5 linked regions of the Canis lupus familiaris genome follow. The protein of the gene in region 4 purifies or fractionates together with the protein of the main gene of each other region. This does not show direct contact. Links are inferred from orthologs where the notes say so. Each region holds a gene or a part of one and is shown on either strand. Other genes may lie near its edges. The genes, in order: RIOK2, CSNK1D, RPS3, BYSL and PNO1.

Region 1 (4,456 bases), on a different chromosome or scaffold from region 4:
TTATGTAAAAGAGATTTGTGAACAGGGATGTTTTAAGGACATTCATCACAACTCAAAGTTCTGGAAGGTCTTTCAAATGAAGATTTTCCGGACTGAAGTCATAATTAAAGGGGAAAAAATGGTTATTTGAGGCAGGTAAGGATAAAGCTATGAAGTGGATATGATCATTGAACAAGACAGAATGAAAGACAAAGGAAGGACGACAGACAGAATTTTGGGGGAATTTCACATTAAAATGTAAGGGCAGCCAGCTAAAGTATGATTACTGATGTAGGAGGCGCCTGAGAAGTCAAGGGAAGACAGTCAAGGAAAGGTGGCCTCTGATACCGAGGATGGTATGCCTCAACAGAGACTGAAATATTTAATGAGTCATTTGTTGGTGAGCTTCAAAAAAGATCTTAAATACTGCAGAGACCGACGTTTTGGAAGATAAATCCGGCACTGTTTGCATGTCCCGACCAAGATCTCACACCTTAACTCATTCTGTTAGTCTCTCACATTCTTTCTCACTACGCCCATATTTCTGTCAGAGGCATTGAGGAATAAGTCCATGTGCTGAGAGGGACCTATTTTTCAGAAGTGACAGCAGGCATTTAAAGAAAATACAGCTGGATCAAGCATCTTCCAAATTTCACACTGAATTTGCATGTGATGCCTTACTGCCTATTTAATTGAAAGATAGTATCTTCTAAACAAATTTGTTTTATTCTGGAAATGCCTAATCTACGTGTTGTTGATCTTTGTTCCCTAAGACTACGACCATTAAAATCAGTTTCTGAGGAATGCCTGGGTTGCTCCGCAGTTGAGCAGCTGCCTTTGACTCAGGTCATGATCCCGCGGTTCTGGGATCATGTCCTGCATTGGGTTCCCTGCCTGGAGCCTGCATCTCCCTCTGCCTTTGTCTCTGCCTCTCTCTCTCTCTGTGTCTCTCATGAATAAATAAACTCTTTAAAAAAATTTTTTTTAAAGAGTTTATTTGAACAAAAATTCATTCAAAGGCTCTTGGGTGGCTCTGTCGCTTAAGCATCCACCATCAGCTCAGGTCATGGTCCCAGGGTCCTGGGATGGAGTCCTGCATCAGGCTCCCTGCATGGAGCCTGCTTCTCCCTCTGCCTGTGTCTCTGCCTCTCTCTCTCTGTGTCTCTCATGAATAAATGAATAACGTCTTTAAAAAAAAAAAAAATCCGTTTTTGTCACTGGTTAAAACATTCAGCAGTTCCCCTATATGTGGAGTATCTTCTGAATTCTTTACCAAGCTCACAAGGCTCTGCAGCACACGACCAGTCTCTCACCTTGTCCAATGCCATCTCCAGCCATTAAGTCTCTTGCTCACTATGGCTCCAGCCACACTGGCCTTTCCCTTCTTCATAAACTTCTGAGGTCAGAAGCTTTGCACGCAGTTCAGCTGTTTCTTTTCTTTTAAGATTTTATTTATTCATGAGAGATAGAGAGAGGCAGAGACACAGGCAGAGGGAGAGAAGCAGGCTCCATGCAGGGGGCCCGATGTGGGTAGAACTTGATCCTAGGTCCCCAGGATCACGCCCTGGGCCGAAGGCGGTGCTAAACCGCTGAGCCACCCAGGGGGACCCCCCCCCCCTCGACCCCTCCCGACCCCTCCCGCCCCCTCCCCCCAGTACAGCTGTTTCCTCTGTCTCCATCACTTTCCAAGAACTTCACTGGACTGCCTCCTTTTCATCCAGCTCCCATTATTTCCCCATCTCCCCTGCCAGTCTTTCTCTTACTTGGCAAATATTTCTTCAGTATCTACCAAGCGCCAGGAACTTTTTCAAAAGCCCTTAACTCTGGTTACGCACAGTAAATAAGCAAGATTATTTCATTTAGGTAGTCATCCCCTTTTTAAAAAAATTTTTAAAAGGATTTTATTTACTTATTCATGAGAGAGAGGCAGAGACACAGGCAGAGGGAGAAGCAGGCTCCATGCAGGGAGTCCGACGCCAGACGCGGGACTCGACCCCGGGTCCCCAGGGTCACGCCCTGGGCCGAAGGCGGCCCTAAACCGCTGCCCCACCCGGGATCCCCTCAGCAGCCTTCCCTGACGTCGCACCGAATCTAAAGATGACATCCGTCCCCCCCCCCGCCCTCGACGTGCACGTGGTTTCTATTTTACGGACCTCAGCGCTTATTAGCTGATTGCACCTCATTCCTTTCCCGGTTTACTCGGCCCGTCTCCCTCGTCTTGGGCCCCCTGCGAGTTCCCTCACGTCGTCACCAAAAAGCCCTGACAAGTCAGCGCCGCTTGAATCACAGTGAATAAATGCTGCGTGAGTGACCGTGTGCGTGAGGACCCCCGGCGTCACCAGTCCTCGGGAGTCCCGGAGCCCCCGTCGGGGGGGGGGGGGGCGGAAGGCAGGCCCCGAGACGCCGTCCGGGCCGCGGGGACCCAAGGGCGCCCCTGGAGCCCGAGTAGCGGGAGCAGAGAGGAGGGAAACGCCCACGAGAGCGGCCCGGCTCTGCTTCGGGGCGGACGGAAGCTCCCGAGCGACCTGACGGCCGGGCCCGGTCCTGCACCTGGGCCGCCCGGGTCTCCGAGGCCTACGGCGCGCTCCGCCCTCAGGCGAGGCGGGAGCCGGAGAGCGCGCGGCCGGCGGGCGGCCGGGGGGACACGGCGACTCCTTACCGCGGTCAGGACCCTGAAGTCATCCCGGCTCAGGTAACGTAACTTGGCCACGTTCACCTTCCCCATGGCGCCCGAAGACCAAGCCAGGAGCCGCCTCCTCTGCAGCCGCAGACTCTGCGGACGCCTCCCGGGCAGCTCCCGGGCGCCTCCCGGCCGCAGGGGCGCTCGCGCATGCGCCGCTGCGCGCTGCAGGTCCTCGTTAATGGAACGCTCCCGCCCCGCGTGGGAAAATCACACGTCCCGTGTCTCTACGCTGCACGCCGCAGGGGACGATGCAGAATATATATATTTTTGGGATGGCTTTTTTCACCTAAGTGAACGGACTTTCAATCTCTTTCGACCTCTACAACAGACCGTTTTATTCTTCCTATCTGTCAGGACCCACTTGCCGAAAGGAGGCGAGCCGCCTGGATCCGAGCGGAAAGGAACTTCCCGGGGTCGGCGGCGGGGGAAGCAAATTGTATTCCTCGACGGCAACTCCTGCTTCAGGCAAAGTGAGTTCCAACAAGGAAGGGGAGGAAATGAACCCAAAACGTGTCCGGACACACAAGGCGGTTAAAAAGGAAAATAGCAGGAATCAGGCAGGCAGGCCCGCCTTTTTTTTTTTTTTTTTTTTTCTCCACAGCGCCCGCCCCGGAGGGGGGCGTGGCTAACGAGAGCTCTCTCCTGCGCGTGCTCAGTGTTGGTTTTAGGGAGGGCGGCGGGCCTCGGGAGTGCGCCTGCGCGGGGCGGGGGCGGGGCTTGGGCTGCGTGGAAGGCGGGCCCTGGTGGCCGCGTCTGCCGGGCCTTTGCACCGGCCGTGGGCCGTGTTGACGAGTTGGGTCGGGTCCGCGGAGGTTGCTGATCAGAGGCCACGCCGTGGGGCTTTAGGAGAGCTACACACTCGGAACCTGCAGCCCTTCTCTACGCCCACAGGAATGGTAACCCAGGCAAGACTTTAAACAACATGCGCCCCAGGCCGGGGGCGGGGTGGGGGGCTGCGTTACCCTCCCTCCCCTGCAAAAGCAGCGAGGGTGACCAAACTCGCCTGATGTTTGTGTTTCTATCTTGTTTCATGAATCACATTTTTTTTTTTTTTTTAAAAGACCGTTACCTGTCTTGTTAGGCCCTCGCGCGTCAGCGGCGGGTGCAACATACGGTCGCGGAGGATTATGACCTGCAGGAGCCTCGACGGCGTTTCCAGCTTCTTTGTGCGTTGAGTCTCGAACACTTGGAGTGTGAACTTTGGAGTTCAGTATTTAGAGTCCCATGTTTTTCCTGCTGGGGTTCTGCTGGCCGGGTGTTCAGCCCTGCGACGCAGTACAGAGTATGTTGCTTTGTGCAAACACAGTTAATAGCCTTTTCATACCCCTCCCTTCCCCGCAGCGCAGTTGGAAGGCAAGCAACTGCATATGCCCTTTCTTTTCCAAGTCAGAATAGTTAATACTCTGAAACCATGGAGTACAGGCAGTAGAACAATCCTCTATCCCGTCTACACTGCAGCCTTTGCATTCTTTTTTTTTTTTTTTTTACACGTGAATGCCGTAAGCCTTCCATTGACCATGCTCAACTAATGGTAACCTCCACTAAAATGGAATTTTTCATTCTGTACCTCACATAAGAAGACATGAAAATGTCAAGTTGGTTGTTTTTGTTTTGTTTTTTTTTTAAGATTTTATTTATTTATTAATGAGACCCACACAGAGAGAGAGGCAGAGACACAGGCAGAGGGAGAAGCAGGCTCCATGCAGGGAGCTCGACGTGGGACCCGATTCAGGGACTCCAGGATCACGCCCTGAGCGGAAGGCAGATGCTCAACCTCTAAGCCACCCACGAGTC
Region 2 (4,297 bases), on a different chromosome or scaffold from region 4:
TCCAGTGCCTCACAAGACATCACCTCCAACAGCAAGGGGCCAAAGCACGTGGAAGCTAAAGCTGATGAAGACACAGGGGTGGGAAGGCTTTGCCTTATGGCCAAAATAGCAGGTACAGGCAACGTTTCGCATAAGCACGTATCGCACAGAATACAGGAACTCTGAGGCCTTTGCACCCTGCCCTTCCTGACAGCCTTCGGGATCTGGCAAGCTTGGAGGTAAATAGAAGATGGGGACCGCACATTTGGGGGTCCATCGTGGCCCAAGTGCAGTACTTTCTGAAGTCCAGGCACTGGAGAAATAGCCCATCTTTAAAAGGGCCATGTGGGATGGACTGGAAGAACTGGCAGGGCACAGGGCCGCATGACCATGTCAATGCAGCAGGCGGCCGGGAAGGCAGGCCAATACCGGGCCCTCCTGGTCCATGAGGCACTCAGTAAACTGAAAGACGGCCTCCCCTCCTCGCAGTTTCAAACCTCTGAAAGCACACAACAATTTCTGTCCCAGGCAGAAATCCAAGACCCCAAATGCAGGATCACAACACAGGGAACCTACCTGGAGAAGTCGAGTGTTCTGATCAATAGTAAAATGACAGCAGCAGAAGTGATTTAAATTGTAATCACAGCAGAATACATGGAACCTAACCATTTTCAAGATATGAGGATGCAATTCCTTAACTAATGCCTTTACCTACAGAGGAGGAACTATGGTAGGGATGACTCATTCTGTTCCGTGGTCTTTGGGGCAGCCATCTTTGAGTCTCACCTACAGCTGGTGGGGTTCCTCAGACCCTGCGGTCCAGCCACATCTCTCAAGTAACAAGATCACCTCTCCTCTGTGGAGCAGCACTCAGCCTGAATGGACCCCCGTGGGGGCCCAGAGCCCATGCTGACGGAAAAGATCAGCTGTGGCCTAAGTGCACCTCAACAGGCCGTGCGGGTGCTAGGAGCGAGGGTGTGAGACTGAGGAGAGACCCCTCTGGGACAGGTCAGCCTGAGCCGTGCATCAGGTGCCGCCGGTGTGCCTAACACAAGGGGAGGCCCAGAGGGCACCACGGTGAATAAGCACACGGGGCTCCCTGCACCAGCTTCAGAAAGCACAGAGCTGGCTAGCACCTGAGGACAGAGAGTTCCAAAACAAATACCTACTTTTTGATGCCCGTGTAAAGGTGACGAATGCATGGACTTCTCAGGACAGCTCCTAGATCCTAGATTAAAACTTTGGCCAAATTTTACTGTTCTGGGAATAACGCAAACAGTTTACATTCACCCAGCAAATTTCCCTAAAGGAACGCTGCTCAGAAGGCAGCCAGCAAACTACTGGAGAGAAACGTCTGTGAAGTGTGTTTTGCTCAGCAGGACAGTAAGGCAGAGGGCAGGCAGGATCAGAGGCATCTGTAGGGCCCGGGACAGGCTTGCTCTGTGGGGTGAGAAGGCACCAAAAGCGGTAATGAACAAACGTGTGCACTCCTAACGCCGTCAGCCCCGGAGGTGCAGCTGCTCCGGGTGACAAGACGGGAGGCCGGGTGGGGACCCCCTGAAGCCACTCCTGACCCCTCTGACAGGTACATAGCCCAACAGAAGCAGCAGGGCAGGGGCTCTGCGCAACATCGGAGCGTGTTTACCCCAGACTTGCGCAACAGTCCCTCTGCGCACACAGCCCCGCCAGGCTGTGCGTCCCCAGGTCCAGGGGGGTACCGGCGACAGCAAAAGTTATTTTTAAATCCCCAACTTGAAGGCTCAAGCCGACCGTTCACGTTACACGTGCATTTCCTTGCACTGCAAATCGGAAACGATCCAGAACTTTCCAATCCCATTTTTCTTTCTTTCTTTCTTTTATTTTTTTATTTTTTACCCCAGATGTACCTGGAGAACCGTAACGGCCAGAGGGACCACCTCGGGAGTAGAGAGCGCTTTACTACTTTATTTGCCTCTAATTTTTGCCCACACCGCGACGCCGACTCCGTCTGCGCTCCCCCAAATCCCAGTCTGGCTCCGGCGGAGGCACCCCGTCCACAACTTGGATGCGCAACATGTCCTTCGGGGGCCGCTCGACGGGGCGGGGGACCCACCCGGCGGCCCCGCGCCCGCCCCGGCGCCGTCAGAGCCCGGGGAGCCGCCGAGCTGGGGCTGCGCCGTCGCACGGGCCCGCGGGCCGCGGAAGCCTGAGGCCGGCGCCCCGACCCCCCCCCGGGCCCCCCCACGTGCCCGGGCCGCAGGGGGCCGCACACCCGCCCGGCGGCCTTTGTCTGCCCGCGGGGGACACCCGGGCGCGGACAGCGGGCGGGGGTCTGGGGCGGCGCAGGGCCGCTCCCGGCAGCCTGGGGCGCACGTCCGGGCAGGCGCCCCGGGGCACGGCCGGACCCCGCGGAGGGGCTGGGGGCGGGGCGGGGCGGGGCGGAGGGGTGGGTCCCGGTCACCGCCGCGGGCCAGCGAGGGGGGTCCCCGGGGCGGAGGCGGGCCGCGGGGCCTCGCAGCGGGGTCCGGGCGTGTCCGGGGTCCTGGGCGGGGGTCCCCGACCCGGGGGCGGGGGGGGGCGCGGAGGGCGCGGACGCCGGTCCGGGGGCGGCCCGGGCTGGGGGGGAGGGGCGCCTCACCGAGATAGATGTCTCCAAAGGAGCCGCTGCCGATCTTCCGGCCCAGCCGGTACCTGTTCCCGACTCTGAGCTCCATGGCGGCGGCGGCGGCGGGTCCGGCTCGCTCCTGCCCTCCCAGCCGCTTCCTGGGTCTGAGCTCGGGGAGGCGGCGCCGCTGCTGCCGCTACGGCGGGTCGGGCTGCCGGCTCCGCCCCCCTCACGGCCCCGCTTTCACCATCGCTTTCCGGCCGCCCCGCTGCTCCCAGCGCCTCAATACGGGGCGGATGGGACAGTCCGAGCGCCGCCGCCCCTGCTCCGGCCCCCGCCGACCCCGCTCGCCCTCTCCCCGCCGCGGATGGACTCGGATCTTCCGGGCCTAAATCCCCCTTCAGCTGCCCGAAGGAGCCGCCGCCATCGCGCTGTGACGTCACTTCCCCTAGCAACCCGGAGGGGCGGGGCCGCGCTCCCCGAGGGGCGGGGCCGCGGCTTCGGACGGTGGGGCGGGGCCTGGGCGGGGCCAGGGGGCGGGGCGGGGCCAGCGCGCACCCGCGTCCTCGAGAACCCCGGGACCCCGGGGCGGTCCCCTCTTTTCGGTTTGCCCAGCCGCCTCAGCCCCGGGCTGCCGGGGGTCCATTCCACGTGCAGCCTGCACGTGCTGGCGCAGGGGCTTCGTATGTCCTCGCGGGTGCCGGGGAAGCCAGCGACTCCCCGCGACACACCTGGGACAGGCCCCAGGGCAGTGCTTTTTGCAAGAGGGACGGGGGCGGAGCCTGTCTGCCCCTCCAGCCCAGGGACCCGCAGGACCCCGGGGACTCAGGTGTGCCCGGCCCGCCGCTGCAGCACTGCCCGCCGCTGCCCGCCCACGCCTCAAGCCTTATGCGCTCAAACCTAGAGCCCGAGGTCAGACCCGAAAGGAGAAGGCGCAGCTACCAGGGATTCAAATGGTGAGGCCGTGGGCCTGCCTCTCAGTCTCATCTTCCTGGAGAACAAATCAACCTTTTCACCTAATTTGTATCTAGTCTGAAGGTTCCTCTTGCAAAAGAAAGCAAGAATGTTAAAGTTCAGAATGATGCCTGGCTTCAAAGATCTGGAGTCTTGATTCTGATCACTGGAAGGGAGTCCTCCAGGGAAGCATCCAAGCCGAGAAGGAATGACTTCCTTGTCATTCCTTCTGGCGCCTACGCCCCACGTAAAAAGGGAGAACCGTAGCACATAATGTTAATGCGTACTTGGGAGCATCTGGCAAATACCTACTACTCTATGCGTGGGGCCTGTGTGCTGGGCCTGTGCACGGGGCTGGCTGCGGCCAGGAGAGCAGCCTGTGTGCCAATGGACCATCAGGACCTCCTCTCCGGGTGGCCCAGGGGAGGCGGGGAAGGAGCGCAGTGGGCAGTGAGTGTCCTTCTGCCCCTCTCCCACACTCAGTCTCAGGAGTGCAGCCCCTGTCCAAAAATAGCTGGGGGTGGGGTTGGGGAGGCTGGCATCAATTCCTGAGCGTTGCTAGCAGTGCCTGGACACGGGAGAGGCTACCAGGCAAACCATGATCAGCCGCTGGTGAGCGGTGGGCAGTGGGGAATGCCCCATGGCCGTGTCAGCCTGGTTTCTCAGTCTTACAGTGTGAGGGTGGGGGGATATTGTCAAACTGGTAAAAACAGCCTGTTGCCAGAATTCCCTGGTGAACAGTGTCCTGCTCCCCTCCCCAAAAGCCATGAGTACAAACTG
Region 3 (4,252 bases), on a different chromosome or scaffold from region 4:
TCAGGGTGTGATCCTGGTCCAGGGATTGAGTCCTGCATCAGGCTCCCTGTGAGGAGCCTGCTTCTCCCTCTATCTCCCTGCCTCTCTGTGTATAACTCATGAATAAATAAATAAAATCTTGAAAAAAAAAAGTCTCAGGACACTTACCTCCGCACAGCAAGGCCTCCTAGGAGTTTGTAACGCAGTGACTCTGCCTGGGCAATAGCACATAGACCTCTTGTGGCCACCTTTTCGGCATAGAGCTTTAAGAAGAAATCAAGGTACACCCTTAAACCTGTTAACTTTCCCCATTGTTTTCAATTAAAGAAAAAAAAAAAACTCATTCACCATACAAGCATGTGGTCACTGTGGCATCCCTCAAGTACTAAAACACTCCTACTACTCATAGGTAGCCTACGCTGTGACATAGTCTGAATCTTTCCTTATTGCCCTCTCATCCCTAGATACTTCTACAGCTACATCAAGTGATGGGATAGCCAATCCATCATACATATCATTACCATACTTAAGTTGAGAGTAAAAAAAAGTCCCTTAACCACCAGAAATGAGCAGAAAAGGCCTATAAAATAAAGCCTGCTACTTATTAAGACAACCAACAAAACACCAATTCATATGTAATACTTGGTGATAACTAAGGTCTTCATGACATTAAGGGTTTATAAAAGTAACCACCCTAAATAACCATTTCCAGGTCCACGGTAATCTCTGGCAAAAGGCAAAATCACTCACCTCTACACTGCCCTCAGGAAAACCAAACCTCTTCTGAACCACAGCAGTCAATTCCCGGATCCTCCGGCCCTTTTCACCAAGAACATTCTGTGTCCTGAGAAAACGAAAATACACAATAGCTCTCACAAAACTGCAAACATGGCTTTAAATTTTACATATATGTGGTAATGAAGTCTCACCCGTCTAACATAGAAAATACAAATTTTGGATGACAAGAGCTAGAATCAGATTTAAAAGGCAGTTACGAAAATACACATTTGTGGGGTGCCACGTTGGCTCAGTTGGTAAGTGTCTGCCTTTGGCTCAGGTCACTCAGGTCAAGATCCCAGGGCCCTGGGATCAAGCCCGGCAAAGGGCTCCCTGCTCCTCCCTCAGCCCCTCAACACCCCCTCCCATCCTCCGCTTTGCACTCTCAGTCAAATGAATAAAATCTTTTTTTTTTTTTTTCAAATGAATAAAAATCTTAAAAACAAAAACAAACCACTTACGTTTGCTAATAAGGCCAATTCACTGGTTCTCCCTGGAAGTTTACAGAATACACCAACCTAGCATATACAACAAGTAACAGGTGCTAACCAGGAAAATGAGATCTCACCTGGTGGCCAGGATAATGATTTCTGTCCTGGTTGGTGTAACTCGGACCTCAACCCCAGAGTAGCCATCTTCAGCGAGCTCCCGAGTGAGAAACTCATTCAGTTCAGCTTTGAAGATGCCATCAGCGACAAACTAACCAAAAGGGAAAATTCACAATTAGAACGTGGGATGGCAGGGTCATTGTCCTTCTGCCAATGCAACACCTCATACAAACATCCCATCATCACTCTTACTACCCTTGTTCCAACACAGAATTTAACAACCCTTCTCAGACAAATGCCTCTAGATCGTCCTTTGGAAGTTACTTTAACCCAAGGACCCTTAAAACTGCCACAGAACGCAGCAAGGAGTAGGGGCCGCCTGGCAAAGATAACACCTCCAGTCAGACTCGTCATCTTCTCTTCATTGAAGGGTTTTAAAGACTTCTTTAGGAGTAGCACATGCCAAACAAACAGCTGCTCTAAAATGGCACATTCACGGGATGCCCAGGTAGCTCAGCAGTTAAGCGCCTGCCTCCGGTCCAGGGCGGCGCAGGGCGTGATCCTGGAGTCCCGAGATCCAGTCCCACATCGGGCTCCCTGCATGGAGTCTGCTTCTCCCTCTGCCTGGGTCTGTGTCTCCCATGAATAAATAAGTAAAATCTTAAGATAAATAAAATAAAATGGCACATTCACAACTCCTTCTGTCTGCAGAGCAGAGATGCTACCTTTGTAACCCATGAAAATACGCTGCCTTCAGGGACCATCAGAAGACTCCCAGCCATGTTATCTTGCCTACAGTACATGTCTCACAAAGCTGAACTCTAATTCGAAAAAGTGTGTGGATTTGCACGACGCTGTGTACACACACAAAATGACAAGTTAGTTGCCTCTTTCTAAAGCAAGCGGACTTTACAGTTTCCGCCTGCGGAAAAGCGAAAAGTTAAAGCTCGATCCAGTGCTCTGTCCGGTTCTCCTCCCTCCCGGTTACTTTCTCCGCGGTAGAGACGGGGCAAGATACAGCAGCCTCTCCAACCGAGGTCTCGGGGGTCAGAGGGCCGCGCCCCGACACGAAGAAGGCGTGCACACGCCACCTCCCCCCCCCAAAGTCCTAGTGAGAGACATTAGGGGGAACGGCCCAACCTCTCAAAATACGCTTACTAAAGCTACCTGTTAACCAAGTAATGCTCCCAAGCGCTTTGTCTCGGGCGGGAGGGGCGCCCGGTGCTCACGTCTGGTCTTCGCCCAGAAGCGGCAGACGTCTCTCATCACTCCCTTCCGCCGCCAAACCGCGCTCGCCTGGCTCGGGCCTCGCATTCAATCCACCGCCATCCGCGGTCCGCGGGAATGCCACGCGGCCCAGGCCGCTTCCCGAAGCAGGGCTCGAAGCTGAGGGTCTCGCGACGGCATCTCGACAAGCCTCGACCCGCGCGGCACCACAGATCCCCGAACCTAGACCCCAGCGTCTTACCTTCCTCTTCTTGGAAATTTGCACCGCCATCTTGCCGCCGCGCGCCCCGGAAAGAAAAGGAAGTGGCTCGTGGGCGGAAGTAGGTATAAAGGGCGCGAGCTACGACAAAGAACTGCGCGACGTCGACGCCTGTAGGCGCTCCTGGGAATTGTAGTTTTTAGGAAGGCATTAAAGAGGGGAAAAAAAGGAGGGGTAATGGAGACACGTATAGGCAGAAACAGGAAAGGGAGCAGATCAATCAGGGGAGCTTAGGTCCAATTCTTATTAGCTTAAGTGAGCAACGTGAGGCGCAGAGATGGAAATTACAGGTATAAACTCACACAGCAACAGCGTGCAATCCTAGTCCCTGCACTCTACACTCAATGAAATTCGTTTAGGTCCAGCCCTTCTGTGTCCGTTTTCTCTGTTCCAAATGCTGGCGATATAAATATCTAATATTTATTAAATATGCTAGGGACTGTTCTATGCCCTTTATATTATGAACTCATTTACCTCTGCCTCACTTTCATAAAGTCCATTAAAACTAGTAACGGAAGTCACCAAGTAGTGGTTCATGGGGTCACAATTATTTTTCCGTTAAAAAAAACTGTACCCCTTATATTTTGAAATTTTCAAGCACACAGGAAGGTTGAAAGAATTATGTATATGCGTCACTAAGGTGATCCAATTAACATTTTTGCCATATTTGCTTTATCCCATATCTATCCATCCCTCTATCCACCCAAGGGTGCATCTTTTGATCTTTTTCAAGGTAAATTACAGCCCTCTGCACACTTTACTCTGAAACACCTCAACAACAGTTTTATTGAGAAATAATTGGCATACATCACTGTATACGTTTGAGGCATGCAGCATGATGCTTTGATTTACAAATATTGTGAAATGATGACCAAAATAGGTTCAGCTAATACCCATCGTGTCATACAGATACAATAAAAAGAAAAGAAGAAAAGAAAAACAAGTTTTTCTGTGATGAACAGTTTTATTTTAAATTTGAATAGTTTTTTTTTCAAAGATTTATTTATTTATTCATGAGAGACACAGAGAGAGTGAGGCAGAGACACAGGCAGAGGGAGAAGCAGACTCCCCACAGGAAGCCTGATGCAGGACTGGATTCCAAGACCCCCAAGATCACAATCTGAGCCAAGGGCAGATGTTCAACCACTGACCTACCCAGGTGCCCCTTAAATTTGAATAGTTTGCCTACATTTAAAAATCAGGAAACTTCTCTATAAAACTCTTTTAAGCTTCTCTTAAAAATACAGAAAGATCCAGCAAAATACTAGACCTACATTTCCTCATGGCAGCCCTCTCCTTCCCTGTTTTATGGCGAAGGGCTTTCCAACATGCCACAATCCCTGGCATCTTCACTCATTCATTGTCTGGCTCTAGAAGCCATTTGAGCTTTTCCCCAGCAGCAGAAAGAATCTGATGCAAAGTTCTGTCCTATACTCATGGAATCACCAGAGTTCTCGGGGGA
Region 4 (3,773 bases):
GCCATGTGCCAGGCACCGGGCTCCTGTTTGGGGGGGAACTTCCATTCTAGTGGAGTAGCGACATGCTCAGAAGCTTAAACAAGCCACAGACCCAGGGCTATTCCTAGGTCCTTCCCCACTCTGTCCACTCCCAGCCCCCACCCTGGGATACTCCTATCTGGGTATCTGCTGACTGTTCTCCATCCTCACCAACATTACCTGGAGTGCAACACAGGGATGGAGCATTTGGTGATGATGCTACCCACGATGATGGCTTCGCGGAGGGTACAGGTGCCAGACTCACACAGGGGGATCAGGATCCCTGGGGAGGGTCAGAGAGGCAGTCATTTTTGAGTCTAGGGTGAGAGAAAGGAGCTAGAGCAGGTTCCCCACCTACCCGAGACAGTCATCTCCCAAGTCAGGCTTGCTGCTTTCACCTGCAGGAGCTCCGGCCCCTCCCTCTCAGTTCCCACCTTTAAACCAGGCTCCAGGCTTGAACAGGGCCTTCTTGAGTGCCATGTAGAGGTGGAAGTTGAGTCGTTTGTATTCAGCGATGTCATCTCGTACCCGGGGGAGCAGGACAAGGTTGTAGAAGCGCTGAGCCATGCGTTCCTTGAGGTTAGAGGCGAAAATCCTAGGTTTGGGGGTAGGGGGGTAGAATACGGAGGGAGATCCCTGGTCACTTGGTAGCCAGGAGCTGGCACTTTATTACTTTTTTTTTAAAGATTTAAAAACTTTATTTGAAAGACAGTACATGCACAAGCAGGGAGGAAGGGCAGAGGGAAAGGGAGCAGCAGACTCCCCTGCTAAGCAGGGAGCCTGACTTGGGGCTTAATCCCAGGGCCCTGGGATCATGACTTGAGCCAAAGATAAGACACCTAACTGACTGAACCACCTGGAGCTGGCACTTTAAATAATCACTGTGGATGGTGCACATAAGAGATCTGAGGGGTGAGTAGGAGTAAGCTGTGTGCAGACACAGATTAGGGAGGGCTCAGGAGGGGCTACAAGATGTATCCAAACAAAGGGAGCGCTTTGTCTTTGGGAAAGCCAGAGCTCTCTGCTCTTCACCTTTCTTCCCTGACATAGATTTTCTTTACCTTGCTGTCACGAGGGACCCAAGTGTGCCTGGGGAGCCACAGACTTCAGAGGCCCCTCTGATACACCAGGGGTTGTCCCCCAGTAGTTCTAAGCCCCACTTCTGAAAACTCATCACAGCAGAGTCTCAACCAAGTCCTGGCTCCGAAACATGAAACAGGAAAGCTGGGAAAACCGTGATGTACAGAAACACAAGCTAGAGCTCTGGGGCAAGGCAAAGATGTAATGACAGTAGCAGAGAAAGCTGCACCTCCACCCCCACTGCCACCTACAGACCCCAGGCCGCCCTAACCCCCCTCTTCTACCTCGTGGCTTGGTACATGGCGGCTGCAGTCCAGGCCTCAGGCTCTGTGATGTACAGGATTTGCTCCCAGTTGGAGAGCGCAGGGATGATCTTGAAGGCCTTGGGCAGTTTCCCACTGCGGTACTTCGATAACACCTGGGGATGAGGGCGCTGAGTCATCGCTGCCCATGACACACAAGCCATGTGCCGCATGCCATGTCCTCATGTGGTTGGTTTTCACAGATTAGCTCACTTAATCCTCACCACAACCCTGTTAGGATGTGCTTTTATGCCCTTGTTTTCCAGATAGGGAAACCAAGACTAGAGTTAAGGAACCTTACCCAAGGCTACCAAGTCCCTGAGTGGCAGAGCAGGTATCTTTTAAGTTTGCTTTTGGCCACTCTGCCTCATTTGTGAGGGAACACAAAGCCTTAGGTGGAGCCCACAGCCCCTGGGAGGGTATTTGATCACGGCTCTCCTCTCAGCTCTTACCTCCCGGACCCCTCTGTAGACCTCTAGGACCCGGGGGTCCAGCTGGGGCATAGGAAAGCCTGACACCTCTGACATAACCATCTCGACTTCCGTCTGCTTTTCGGTTAGCTTCTCCATGATGATGTCAGCCAGGGTACGCCTAAGAGTAGAGGAGGTGTGGGAGGGAAGGGGAGAGGGCGGTGGTCAGTCTGGGAAGCTCTAGACTTCCTGCACAGTCCCTCATGAGCTCTAATACACTTGTGATCCCGCTGGGATGTGTGGCCCCAGTTTTCCTGAGCCCTACCACCCACCACAGAATCCTGAGCAGTGTGAGGACCCAAAAGTCATTCATTTTGGGACAAAGCTGATAGCTGTGTGGAGGTGGAGGGCCTGGACTCTGAAGTCAGTCAGCCTGGGTTCAGATCTTGGCTCTTCCTCTCCCTGTATGACCCTGGGCATACTTGGCCTCTCTATGTCTCAGTTTCCTTATCTGTGAGACCGGGACAGTAACAGTGCCTAACTCATAACGTCAGCACAAGGATTACAGGAGTTAATGTTTGCATGTTACTTAGAACTCTTAGTACACAGCAAGTGTACAGTAAGCATTGCCTATTTCAAACACATCTATCGAGTGCTGGCAACATGCTAAGGGATCTCCTATTACAAAGTCCTGATCTGGCCTCTCTAGAATGCCAGACACATCTCTGTTATTTTCCAAGATTTCAAGCAACTGGGGCCATTAAGGAGAGACTATGACACAAACTTCCCCCCAATTTCACTTTTTGAAATTTATGGAAAGATTTCTAAGATTAATAATATTTTTCTCAGTTTCCTTGCACAGAGCATATCAAACATAACCTTATCAGGATGGTTTAGAATTATTGTCACATTGGGCTTTGGTAGAATGATGTCTTCAGAGGCTGCTAAGGCATATCTAAAATGGCTATTTTCGGGATCCCGGGTGGTGCAGCAGTTTAGCGCCTGCCTTTGGCCCAGAGCGTGATCCTGGAGACCCGGGATTAAATCCCACGTCGGGCTCCCGGTGCATGGAGCCTGCTTCTCCCTCTGCCTATGTCTCTGCCTCTCTCTTTCTCTCTGTGTGACTATCATAAATAAAAAAAAAAAATTTAAAAAAATGGCTATTTTCTCAACAGTAGGCATTGAAGCAGGATTTTCCAGATTATCTCATATAGGCTGTACAACATCTCATAGAGGTGTCATTATTGCCCTTATTCAGACATAGGAACTGATATCCAGAGACGTCAATAACTCACCCAGGGTCTCAGAGCTCTCAAGTAAGGAGAGAGTCAAACCCTGGTCTTTCAGCCTGAAATCCAAGTACTTGACAATACACTATAATGTGCCCCCAACTACATGGGCCCCTGACTGCTGAGTTCACATGGGTCTGGTTTGCTTTCAGAAGTTGCCAGCTGTCATTTCTCAGGACTATCAAGAATCCCTGTTTTGGCAGCTCCAAGCAATAAAATCATCCTGCCAATCATGTCAGAATACTATATTACAAAGGAGTTTGGAGGTGCTGAGAACCAAGGGCCCTCTGCCAGGAGAAGCATACAGCCCAAGTACACACTTTGTGACGTCTACTTTAGCTGCTGGGCATCAGTGTGGGAAACTGGCTCATTTCCTCACTGTGTTCTCAGTGACCACAGAACTTATCCTTCAGCTTCTGTGTCTTTTCTCAATACTATCAGCAACGAGAGATGCATTTAGCTCCTAAAAGCCTAAGAACTGGGATCCCTGGGTGGCGCAGCGGTTTGGCGCCTGCCTTTGGCCCAGGGCGCGATCCTGGAGACCCGGGATCGAATCCCACATCAGGCTCCCGGTGCATGGAGCCTGCTTCTCCCTCTGCCTATGTCTCTGCCTCTCTCTCTTTCTCTCTCTGTGACTATCATAAATAAATAAAAATTAAAAAAAAATAAAATAA
Region 5 (3,773 bases), on a different chromosome or scaffold from region 4:
CCTCAACTACATCGGAGAATGGAGATGAAGGTTTTGGAATCAGACCTGTGTCAGAATTCTGCCTTTTTCACATTTTAGTACTTTATTTTCCTCAAATAAAAAGGGGTTTATGTTACTTAATATTCAGTGTTGTCATGGAGACTAGAGCTGTTGTGCGTAAGGCACCTTTGCGGTGCGTGTCATTGTGAGTGGTGGGGACTTTACGAGTAGCAGCTATTTCTGCAGGTATCTAATAAAGCCTTTAAGGACGAGATTCCCGCTTACACCATTCATGGTAGTGGGTCCCGCAGTTAGTGCTCTGGGAAACATGGGCGTATGACGATGATTGAAGTCAGGAGAGGAGATCAGCACTCCCAGGGGGAGAAGAGAAGAGGGGGTCCCTGAGCTGTGGGCCACTGGGCTGCCAGAGGAATCCTGCCGTTGGCCCCCGAGTCCCATGGGTCTTGGGGTGTAGTCTTCAGATGGAACTACCCAACTCTGGAGCTGGGAGCATTTCATTGTGCAAAATCAACACAGTGCTTATCTCACCAAAAACTGGGTCATAGAGGATATATTGGGGAAGGATGGTGGTTAAGGAAATTTTAATAATGAGGAAAGTCTGCCCTGGTGTTTTATTGTAATATTTTCACCTCTGGTCTTAATATGTGTGTTTTTTTTTTGTTTTTTTTTGTTTTTGTAACAGACTTGTAAAGAAACCAAGGATGTTAGTGCTCTAACAAAAGCAGCAGATTTTGTGAAAGCCTTTATTCTTGGGTTTCAGGTGGAGGTGAGTGACTTTGTGACATTTGAATTGGGTGCTTAAAAACACTTAGTATGAACATTTCAACGGGTTTGAGCTTTTTAAAAAAATATTTTTTGAGTCTTCTAGGTCTGGTGAATTTTAACAGTTATTCTCAGGTATGTAAACAGAAGGACTTCACAGCTTTAATTTTTATGTTGTAGGACGCGCTTGCCCTCATTAGGTTGGATGATCTCTTCCTAGAGTCTTTTGAAATTACAGATGGTGAGTCTAGGGTGGTGTTTTTCCCTTAACTGTTGTACTTTTGTACTGCTGACTTTGTATTGTAGGAGACTCTTAGCTTTCTCATGGCATCAGTTGACCTGTGTTATCGGCAGGTTCAAAAAAGTTTTTTTGCGTCTTTTAGGAGGGTTAATTCAGTTAGTGATTAAATTTCATGATGGAGTGGGTGGCGTGCTGAAGTCGCTTGCCTCCTCAGGTCTTGCTTCTCTCATTTAGTGAAGCCCCTAAAGGGAGACCACCTGTCCAGGGCAATAGGAAGAATTGCTGGCAAAGGAGGAAAAACCAAGTTCACCATAGAGAATGTGACACGGACACGGATAGTTTTGGCTGATGTGTAAGTATCTGGTCTTGAGAATATTATTGTCCTGATTTATATGTGATCTTTTGCTGGCTTCAAGGAGTCATAAAAATTGGATTTCATGCATAATGTTGCCACTGACTCTTTGCCAGTGTGCAGTTCTGGATGAAATACAGTTACTTTGGAAGCAGATTAAGTGAGTTGAGAAAAATCTCAGGAATTAAGCTTTTTTTCTCAGCAATAAAGGAAATGATTAGGGGTGCCTGGGTGGCTCAGTCGGTTGATCTTCTGCCTTCTGCTCAGGTCGCCGTCCAGGGGCCCTGGGATCGAGTCTTGCTCCGGGTTCCCTGCTCAGCAGGGAGCCTGCTTCTCCTTCTGCCCCTCCCTTCTTCGTGCTCTCTCTCTCTCTCTCTCTCAAATAAATAGAATCTTCAAAAAAGCAAAGGAAATGTTTATAATTACTATTAAAAGAAGTTACTTGACAGGTGAAGATTTAAATAGTATCCGAGGGGACCGGTACATCAGTAGGAGAGAGGAAGGAGTGGGTGTTTTAAATGCCATTGTGGGGATCCCTGGGTGGCGCAGCGGTTTGGCGCCTGCCTTTGGCCCAGGGCGCGATCCTGGAGACCCGGGATCGAATCCCACGTCGGGCTCCCGGTGCATGGAGCCTGCTTCTCCTTCTGCCTATGTCTCTGCCTCTCTCTCTCTCTCTCTGTGACTATCATAAATAAATAAAAATTAAAAAAAAAAAATAAGCAGCAAGCTGAATGTGGCCTGTGGTTCATAACTTACCAAGCCCTGATATATATGGTATATCTTTAAAAAAAAATAAAAATAAAAAAAAATAAATGCCATTGTGACTTTCCTTGTAAAGAAAGAAATACATGTGCATAATTTAATAAATATTTTTAAATTCTATGTAAAGGCTTTTCACGGGAGGATGGTGAGTATTGCACGTTAGGTGAAAAGCTAGAGAGCAGCTCTATGTGAACGGAAAGGAGAGGAGCCAGGCTTAAAGTCAGGGTGCAGGAAGTCAAGCTGGGATTAGCCCCGGCGGGGCTGCAGCTGCTGCGGTGCCAGGTCGGGGCTCCTGGCAGATGGTGTGGAGGTTATATAATGCCGCCAAGTTGGGGAACGAAGCAGTTGACTGACAGGAGGAGGGACCTGCCCGCTACTAAACCCAGGAATCATTTTATTTAGAATCCTCCTATCTTTGTTCTAAACTCGGGCTCACCATTTTTTAGAACTAAGTTTTGGACTCTGGTTTACAGTGGAGGGTTAACCACACCACCACGTTGACGGCCCCCTTCCTGGAAGACAGGCTTATTGTAACCTTGGTCCTTGCGAGGCGAGCCTGGAGTTGGGAGTATGCAGCCGTGAGGAGAGCTTGTTTCGAACCAGAAATTAAAATATTTTGAAATCCACACCACATTAGAAAGTATCATATGTCGCCCTGGAGACTTTTGAGGATTTAAAAATGTAACTGATGCACTGATCAAATTATGGGTCCTATGAAGTTTAAAACTTTAAGTACGTTGATGAGTGTTAACGTAAAATTAACTAGTTGAACTAGCTTTTTTAATAGCTTTACTGCAGCGTGATGTACATACAAACCACATTACCTGTTTCAGTTTCAGGAAGATGTATAGGCCGGTCTGTGATCCCACCTCAACCCCAGGCCGTCACTCATCTACCTTCTGTCATGGTTTTGCCTTTTCTAGAAATGTGTATAAATGGAAGTGCACAGGAGGATGCAGTCTTTGGTGTATGGCTTGTTTTAATTAGCTTGCTGTTTGGAGTGTCTCCGTTCCTTGGGTAGGTCAGCAGTTCTTACAAGCCAAGTACTGGCGTGAGGTCTGCATTTTGTTCATCCATTCCCAGTGGATGGAGGTTTGGGCTGTTTGCAGTTTGGGGCCGCTAAGAATAATGGTGCTATTACCGAGTTACAAACTGAGTCACATACTACTTGAAATGGAGTGTGTGGTATGAATAAGCTAATTTGAAATCCACATGTTCAGCAACTTCCTGATAACGCTGTGACCATGACACAGACTTGCAGGCACCTGTAAGAGTTGTTTTTGATGAGTTGCTGATAACCTGGTAAACTACAGTACGATGTGAGCAGGATACTATTCCAAATAAACTCAGTGCATCAGATGGGAAGTCATGTTACTTGTGGGTCCTGAGACCTCCACTCCAGCCACCGCCCCGTCCCTTTGGTGGTTTCAGCGGCACAACTACTCACACTTACGTATGCTCGCTGTTTCCTCATCTTTCCTCTGCTATTGTCAAGAATTTTTATTTTTATCGAAATGACACGTACATGTACTTAGCAAGCCCCACATTTGTACCACCTACTCCCATTTCCTCTTCCTCAAAGGAACTAATTTCAACTCTTTTAGCTAACTTTTAAAAATCATATATCCATATTTTCAAATACCTTGTTTATATACC

Evidence for each region.
Region 1: the proteins of BYSL (region 4) and RIOK2 purify together in Homo sapiens (affinity purification with mass spectrometry; 3 studies listed by BioGRID and IntAct, with this or other methods). This does not show direct contact. The link is inferred for Canis lupus familiaris from reciprocal best matches to the Homo sapiens genes BYSL and RIOK2.
Region 2: the proteins of BYSL (region 4) and CSNK1D purify together in Homo sapiens (affinity purification with mass spectrometry; 3 studies listed by BioGRID and IntAct, with this or other methods). This does not show direct contact. The link is inferred for Canis lupus familiaris from reciprocal best matches to the Homo sapiens genes BYSL and CSNK1D.
Region 3: the proteins of BYSL (region 4) and RPS3 purify together in Homo sapiens (affinity purification with mass spectrometry; 4 studies listed by BioGRID and IntAct, counting the BioPlex papers as one, with this or other methods). This does not show direct contact. The link is inferred for Canis lupus familiaris from reciprocal best matches to the Homo sapiens genes BYSL and RPS3.
Region 5: the proteins of BYSL (region 4) and PNO1 fractionate together in Homo sapiens (co-fractionation; 4 studies listed by BioGRID and IntAct, with this or other methods). This does not show direct contact. The link is inferred for Canis lupus familiaris from reciprocal best matches to the Homo sapiens genes BYSL and PNO1.

What each region holds. Positions count from the first base shown.
Region 1 is NC_049224.1:12,585,971-12,590,426, reverse strand, and holds the start of RIOK2 (serine/threonine-protein kinase RIO2), read right to left. Parts: upstream 2,818-4,456; 5' UTR 2,705-2,817; coding exon 2,639-2,704; intron 2,263-2,638; exon of another isoform or gene 2,163-2,262; coding exon of another isoform or gene 2,133-2,162; intron 1,417-2,132; exon of another isoform or gene 1,308-1,416; coding exon of another isoform or gene 1,293-1,307; intron 1-1,292. UniProt on the Homo sapiens protein: Serine/threonine-protein kinase involved in the final steps of cytoplasmic maturation of the 40S ribosomal subunit. Involved in export of the 40S pre-ribosome particles (pre-40S) from the nucleus to the cytoplasm.
Region 2 is NC_049230.1:898,995-903,291, reverse strand, and holds the start of CSNK1D (casein kinase I), read right to left. Parts: upstream 2,984-4,297; 5' UTR 2,673-2,983; coding exon 2,597-2,672; intron 1-2,596. UniProt on the Homo sapiens protein: Essential serine/threonine-protein kinase that regulates diverse cellular growth and survival processes including Wnt signaling, DNA repair and circadian rhythms. It can phosphorylate a large number of proteins.
Region 3 is NC_049242.1:23,299,689-23,303,940, forward strand, and holds the start of RPS3 (40S ribosomal protein S3), read right to left. Parts: upstream 2,837-4,252; 5' UTR 2,803-2,836; coding exon 2,773-2,802; intron 1,735-2,772; exon of another isoform or gene 1,587-1,734; intron 1,456-1,586; coding exon 1,325-1,455; intron 824-1,324; coding exon 730-823; intron 243-729; coding exon 148-242; intron 1-147. UniProt on the Homo sapiens protein: Component of the small ribosomal subunit. The ribosome is a large ribonucleoprotein complex responsible for the synthesis of proteins in the cell. Has endonuclease activity and plays a role in repair of damaged DNA.
Region 4 is NC_049233.1:10,775,845-10,779,617, reverse strand, and holds part of BYSL (bystin), read right to left. Parts: intron 1,992-3,773; coding exon 1,853-1,991; intron 1,517-1,852; coding exon 1,383-1,516; intron 614-1,382; coding exon 453-613; intron 302-452; coding exon 199-301; intron 1-198. UniProt on the Homo sapiens protein: Required for processing of 20S pre-rRNA precursor and biogenesis of 40S ribosomal subunits. May be required for trophinin-dependent regulation of cell adhesion during implantation of human embryos.
Region 5 is NC_049231.1:68,531,026-68,534,798, forward strand, and holds part of PNO1 (RNA-binding protein PNO1), read left to right. Parts: intron 1-682; coding exon 683-766; intron 767-942; coding exon 943-1,003; intron 1,004-1,237; coding exon 1,238-1,355; intron 1,356-3,773. UniProt on the Homo sapiens protein: Part of the small subunit (SSU) processome, first precursor of the small eukaryotic ribosomal subunit.